Cricetulus griseus: one gene and its partner. The protein of the gene in region 1 purifies or fractionates together with the protein of each later gene. This does not show direct contact. Links are inferred from orthologs where the notes say so. Each region holds a gene or a part of one and is shown in the gene's direction. Other genes may lie near its edges.

The links. The genes of interacting proteins can lie anywhere in the genome.
Region 2: the proteins of Haus5 (region 1) and Haus2 purify together in Homo sapiens (affinity purification with mass spectrometry; 5 studies listed by BioGRID and IntAct, with this or other methods). This does not show direct contact. The link is inferred for Cricetulus griseus from reciprocal best matches to the Homo sapiens genes HAUS5 and HAUS2.

The regions. Positions count from the first base shown.
Region 1 is NC_048602.1:5,155,449-5,159,739, forward strand, and holds the start of Haus5 (HAUS augmin-like complex subunit 5), read left to right. Parts: upstream 1-1,491; 5' UTR 1,492-1,560; coding exon 1,561-1,661; intron 1,662-2,225; coding exon 2,226-2,288; intron 2,289-2,367; coding exon 2,368-2,400; intron 2,401-2,563; coding exon 2,564-2,588; intron 2,589-3,536; coding exon 3,537-3,642; intron 3,643-3,721; coding exon 3,722-3,881; intron 3,882-4,291.
Region 2 is NC_048599.1:57,857,603-57,860,437, reverse strand, and holds part of Haus2 (HAUS augmin-like complex subunit 2), read left to right. Parts: intron 1-1,458; coding exon 1,459-1,567; intron 1,568-2,835.

The DNA.
Region 1 (4,291 bases):
GCTTATGGTTTAACATCCCCACCCCATGAAACACCCTCTCCCCCACTGAACTTGTGAGCCCTCCACAATGAGGACTGAGCCCATCTCTGTCACCACGGTGTCACCAGAATCACGGAGCACAGTCAGCTTTGTAAATGACGAGTAAAATCTGAGGGAGCCAACAAGATGGGCCCATTAATGGGTAAAGGAGCTTGCTGTGCAAGCCTAACAAGAGTCAATCCTGGGACCCATGGAAATGTGGAAGGCAAGAACTGACTCTACAGCCAGGTAGGCGGTGGCGGTGCATGCCTTTAGTCCCAGCACTCGGGAGGCAGAGGCAGGCAGACCTCTGTGAGTTCGAGGCCAGCCTGCCCAGAAGACTGCATACCGAGATATACAGGCTATCCTTTCTGCCTTTTATTCTCCATTCAGACATGAGACACTGCTTTTGAAAGCAAACTGTAGTTTGTTTGATTTTTTTTTAGTTTGTTTTGTTTTTTTTCTCTTTGGGGGCATGCCACCCGTCTCCTAAATAAATAAATAAATTAAATAAATAAATAAATAAATGGAGACTTATTGTTACTAATGAATGCCTGGCCTTAGGTTGGCTTGTTCCTTGCTAGATTTCCTAACTTATCCTGTTTCTCTTTAACTATGTTTTTATCTTTCTTTATATATCTATATATCTTTCGTTCCTTCTTATTCTGTGGCTGACTGAATGGCTGGGTGGCTGGCCCCTGGCATCCTCTTCTCCTCCTCTTGTCACTCCTCCCGTTCTCTCCAGCCTAGATTTTTTTCCTCCTATTTATTCTCTCTGCCTGGCGGCCCCATCTATTTCTCTCTCCTGCCTGGCTGTCAGCTGCTGAGCTTTTTATTAGACCCGTCAGGTGTTTTAGGAAAGCAAGGTAACACAGCTTCACAGAGTTAGGCAAACGTTAGCATTAAAGAACACATCTTTCCACCGAATAAACGAACTAGCACATCTTAAGCTGATATTCCACAATTCCAAGCGTCGGTAGCTCACGCCTGTCACCCAGGATTTGGGAGCCTGAGGCAGAAAGATCACAAGTTCTAGCCAGCCCGGCCTCACAGCCCCTTTCTCAAGACAACAAAGCAGACGGGGACACGGCTCAGATGTTGAGAACACTGGCTCCGGGAGAAGGGAACTGGGATTGTCATGTAATAAAACCTTATTTGTAATTCAAATAAAAAATGATTTAAAAAAAGAAAGGAAGGAAGGAAGGAAGAAAGAAAAAAAAGAAAGAAAGAAAGGAAAGAAAGAAAGAAAGAAAGAAAGAAAGAAAGAAAGAAAGAAAGAAAGAAAGAAAGAAAGAAAGAAAGAAAGAAAGAAAAGAAAGAAACACTGGCTCCCGTCCCGAGAATCCCGGTTTAATTCCCCTCACCCACACGGCGGCTCTCAGCCATCCCTAACCTGACTTCTGGTCCTTGCGCCGAGACCTAGAAGCGGGAGGCTGCGCCGTCGCCTTGGCAACCGGTGACGTCGGCGTCGCGCCCGTGACGTCAGGCCCGCGCGCCGGGCTTGAAAGAAGAGTCGCGGGCGGGAAGAGCTCTTTGACAGCCATGGAGGACCTGAGGCAGAAAGTGCGGGAGCTTAGTCGCTGGGCTGCGGAGGAGATGGAGGCGCCCCGGGCGGCCGTCCCCGGGGAGCCGGCGCTGCGCAGGTGGGACGCGCATCCTGGGGTCCGCAGCCCTCGGGGCGCTGCAGAAGGAGTGGGGGGGCCCGGGTGGCGATCCCGGGGACCCCGCGTAATTCAGGCAGGGCCCCTGGCGCCTGCGGCGGCGGTCCAGGGCTAACGGGGTCCCCGCAGCACCGCACCCTCAGCAAAGGGGACACCGGGGACACCGGGGACACCGGGCCCTTGGCAGGGGCCGTCCTGCGGGGGCCGTGTCTGCAGGGACAGTGACCCCTGATCGCCCCCGTTAGGAAAGGCCGTTTCCTGCGGGGAGACTTGGGCATCCCCCTCCGGAAGTGGCCTCAGGCCAGCCCTCTCCCTCAAGACAGAGGGAAGGCCGCTGTGGCATGGGAATAGCCTCACGCTCCGAGAGAGAGAAGCCCGCCCTCTCTTTGGCACCCTCCGCCCCCAGGAGCACGGGCCCCTCCTCCCAGAAGTGGGAACTCTCGGGACTGCCCTCCTCTACCACCACCACCACCACTGTGGGATGGTGGAGGGTCTTCCTCCTCCTGGGCGATAGCCCCAAGCGTACCTTATGCCCTGTCTCTTCAGGATGTGTCTGGGCCAGGGGGCCGACATCTGGGCCTACATTGTGCAGCACGTGCGTAGCCAAAGGTAAGCCAAGCCGGTGCAGGGAGGGGAAGCCATAGTCAAAGGCCTCAGCAACTCTTCTTCCTCTGTCTCTCCAATGCAGGAGTGTCAAGACGGTCCGGGGAAACCTCCTCTGGTAACTGTTTCTTTATGTCACACACACCCCCACCCCCCCACCACCCCCCACCACCCCCGTCTTCCCCAGTCCCGTCTAGCCATGCCCTCGTCCATAGCCTCTGCTTCCTGCCCTCTACTCTGGAAGCCCCAGCCATCCCCTAACTCTGCTCTCATTTCTTTAGGTATGGCCATCAGGACAATTCAAAGGTGAGAAGCCTGTGCTGTAAGATTTCTCCTTCAACCAAAAAAGAGCTTGCAAACATTTGGCTCTCGGCCCCAGAGGTGCTGGATGTCAGGGGCCCTGTGTCTCCAAACAGCCCAGATCTTTGCAGTCCCAGCATTTGTAACCAGGGGGAGACAGGCACAAGCTGGGTAATATAGGGAGCTGAACCATTACTGGTAGCTGGGGAGTCGCAACTGCCAATCAGGACAGCAGTTGCTTAAAAGGGAGCTGCTAAATTTAATGACAAACGTCAATGGGGAAAGGATGGGTTTGGGAGCTGCTAAGGGGCACAAAAAAGAAGTCAAGACTGGGAGGAAGACACTAGAGAGATGGTCAACAATTAAGGGCACTTGGTGCTTTTGAAGAGGACCCCAGTTCAGATCCCAGTATCCAGAGCAGATGGCTAGCAACCAATTGTATTTTCAGTTCTAGGGGATCCAACACCTGGCCTCCACTGGTGTGCACAAGACACACACACACACACACACACACACACATATTTTTTTTGAAGATTAAGACAGAAGCTGGGTGTGGTGGTCGTTAGTATTCAGGCATCTGTACTGGCCTGTCCCTAATTAAAAAAAAAAAAAACAAAACAAAAAAAACATGGCGTCTTTCTCTCAAGAGCCACTTTTCTTAAATTACAGTAGTGGTACTTGCCTTTTATCCCAGCACTTGGACGCTGAAGCAAAAGGACTGTGAGTTTAAGGCTAGGCTGAGCTAGTTACATAGCAAAACCCTGTCTCGATAAGAAAAAGCATTTGACAGAGATATGGGAGATACCACACAGAAAACCAAGAAGATTGTGAGGTAATCCCAGGAGGGAGAGAGCCAGCTAGACTCTTAGTGCTTCTGTGCCATCCATCCCAGAAGGTAGTCCAGCCAGGCTGGGCCCCAATAAGTCCCTCTGACCCTGTACCTGATCCCACCAGGTCCGTCGGAAGTTGGAGCTGGAAGCCACTGTGGCCCGCCTGCGTGCAGAGAGCCAAAAGCTAGACCAGAGCCTGGAGCTGATGGATCAAGAGACTGAGGCTCAGGGTGACTTATGGGGCCAGCCAAATGGGCAGTGAAACCCTGGATGGGGGAGGTGCTGACCACACCCCTGTTCCTCCCACAGACATGACTATAGCACAGACACTGCAGAGCCTGAAAGAAACCCAGCATCGAACGCTTCTCCTCCAGGCCAAAGGCAGGGCTGTGCAAAGGCAGCAGTGTGGGCTGCAAGGTCCCATGAAGAGGCTACAGAATCAGCTCAGTCACCTGCAGGACATGCAAAGGTGGGGCTCAGCCTCCCCAGGGAGCTTAGACCTTCTCCTCAGAGACCCCGGTCGGTGGTCTGCCTGCTCCCTTTCTGCTTCCAGAATTCTGAGCTTCCAGCTGTAACATAAGGGCCATCAGCATAAGGAGTTCTATTATCTTGGGCACCTGGATTTCTAAGATTTACGGAAGGGCGATAATGTTCAACGTCTCTAGTTAGTGTAAGAATTAGGTGAATCTGAATCCGGGAAAGTGCTCAGATGTCTGCCAGCTGTTCTGAATGTGACAGGAAAGTGTCACGCCGGGGAGGATTTGGAATAGTGCCGCTACACTCTTTGAGTCTCATGAGGGCATTGTTTTTTATTTTATGTGGGTGTTTAGCCAGCGCGCATGTCTGTGCAACATGGGTGTGCCTGGTGCCCTCAGAAGC
Region 2 (2,835 bases), on another chromosome or scaffold:
TTAGATAGTGCCCTTTGTTTTTAAATAATTATAACTGGAAAAAAAAAAGGACTTTGTTTTGCCAGTTGTGTTTTAGAAATTATAAATTATGGTTTGTTAAAAAATATTAGTTCCCGGGGCTGGATAGGTGGCTCAGCAGTTAAGAGCACTGACTGTTCTTCCAGAGGACTTGAGTTCAAGTCCCAGCAACCACATGGTGGCTCACAACCACCTTGAATGAGACTTGATGAGCTCTTCTGGCATGCAGACAGAAGACTGTATACATAATAAATAAATAAAATCTTAAAAAAAGAAAGAAAGAAAGAAAAATATTAGATCCCTAACATGCAGCACAGTAAAATCTGTTTTATTATGTATAGACTGTTTTCTATGAAGTACATTTATTATTGTCTATATATAAAAATTCTATTGAAATTTAACAAAGGAAAAACAGTAAAAGACACAAAAACTGGCCTGGTGGTGGTGGCCCACACCTTTAATCCCAGCACTCAGGAGGTAGAGGCAGGAGGATCTCTGTGAATTCGAGACCAGTCTGGTCTACAGAGGGAGTTCCAGGATAGCCTCCAAAACCACAGAGAAACCCTGACTTGAAAAACCTAAATAAATAAATAAATAAATAAATAAATAAATAAATAAATAAAAAGAAAAGCTAATTTACTTTCTCTCTGTATTGCTTTTCTTTTCTAACCACTGTCACAGAATACCCAACAGAAGCAACTTAGTTGGGGAGAGGCTTATTTTGCCTCACAGTTTAGAGGTAGTGCATCCAACATTGTAGGGAAGGCCTTGTGGTTGGTGTTCAAGTGGATGGTCCCTGCCCCTGAGGACTTCCAACCACTAGGCTCCACCCACAGAACACTAATGCCCTGGACTTGGAAACCCACCAAGCCCCACTCTGGAAAGCTCCGTCCCCAAGAAATGTTATATAAACTCTGTCTTCTGCTCAGTTCTCTACTGCTTCTCACCCCTCACCCTAGTAGAGGCAGCTACCCTCCTGGGTTTTTCCCTACACATCTCTTGTGTGAGGTCCGTGTGCTATGTAATGTTGTAGTAGTTCTTGGCTCCTGACTGCCGGGGTACCTTTCCCTGCACAGCTGTAACACTTGCACTGGAGAAACACCCCACCCTGCCCCCCAGCAGAGCCGTAACGTTTGCAGTAGGGAAACCTTCATCCGGAGTGCTGTAACACTTCCATTGGGGAATCCTTTCCCCTCAGAGCTGTAACATGCACAGCTAGTGCAACTCCATCTGTGGTGGCAGGATTGTGAAATGGCTTGCTCACGTCTTAATGAATCAGAAATTGGAGATCGCCTTCAAGGACTGCCCCCAGTTATCTATATCTACCAACTAGTCCCTGTGCCCAATAAGTCCCCAAACAGCATTACCCAATTGGGACCAAGTGTTCAAACACGGGAGCCTGTGGTACAAATTTACATTCACCCATATACTCTCTTTCAGATATATGGTACATTTGTTGGAATTGGCTGTGACTTTCATCGAGAAGTTGGAAACCAATCTTGAAACAATTAGAAATATCCCTCATTTAGATACAAACCTAAAGAAAATGGTGAGTAATAGCTGCCCTTAGTTCTTATATTAGAATATGTTAGTTCTTATATTAGAATATATTAGAAAGCTGTGTAACCTTCACATTTAACTTTTTGGTTTTGATTTTATTTTTTCAATAGTCTCACAAAGCTCAGACTAGCCTCAGACTCCTAAATTAACAAAGCAATGTATTTATGTCATCATGATATTCTCATATGGATGTGTGATTACCCTTTGTTGTACTGTGTTCTCATCTGCTGCTGTCCTCCTGTCTCCTCCATCCAGTTCTTCCTAGCCTGCCAGCTTCCTCTGGATAGTGTCTCCTTTTATTTGTATGTCACATGTGTTCTTACTCTTTTTACCCTCTCCTCTCATCTGTTAATATGTCTTTCTCTCCTTTCACTGTTTCTGTTTTACACACAGATACACAATTCAAATCTAGAATACACATTTGAGACAAAACTTAAGGTGTTTGTCTTTCTGAGCTTGGCTAATTTCACTTTGAGTAGTCATTATTAGAATCATAAAACAAAAGAAACATTTTCTTAACCAAGCATGGTGCCCTACACCAATAATTCTAGTACTTGGGTGCCTGAAGAAAATTGTTGTGGAATTTGGGGCTAGCCTGCACTATGTAGTAAGTTCCAGACTAGCTTAAGCTACAAAATGAGATTCTGTCTCAAAGCAAAAAGAAACTTTTTTAAAAAATATTACTCTGCCAGGCGGTGGTGGTGCATGCATTTAATCCCAGCACTCAGGAGGTAGAGACAGGAGGATCTCTGTGAGTTCAAGGCCAGCCTGGTCTACTGAGTGAGGTCCAGGATGCCTCCAAAGCTACAGAGAAACCTTGTCTTAAAAACAAACCAAAAAAATTTACTGTGACATCATTTCCATTTTTTTATTCCCTTGCCATCTGGTTCCCTCCTCCCACCCTCCCCCCCAAGTCTTGCTATATAATGGGGCTGGCTTCAAACTCACTGTCTTTTGCCACTGCCTTCCAAGTGCTGGGATTTTAGACATATGCCACCACACCTAGCAAGATACATACTTTTTACTTCATAGGATTGCATTTACATAAGTATAAAATAAAATTATTAGGAGTTGCTAACTGTTTATCACAGGAAAAACTACTTTTGGTACAGGAACTGGGAACAGGATAGGACACAGAAAGATTTTAGAAAGTTTTCAGAATTAATTTGAAGAATAAGTAAAATCTGAACATGTGTCAGAAAGACTAATGTGGCCATAGCAATAGTGGGGAGAAGTTATGAACAGAGAGCAGAGATA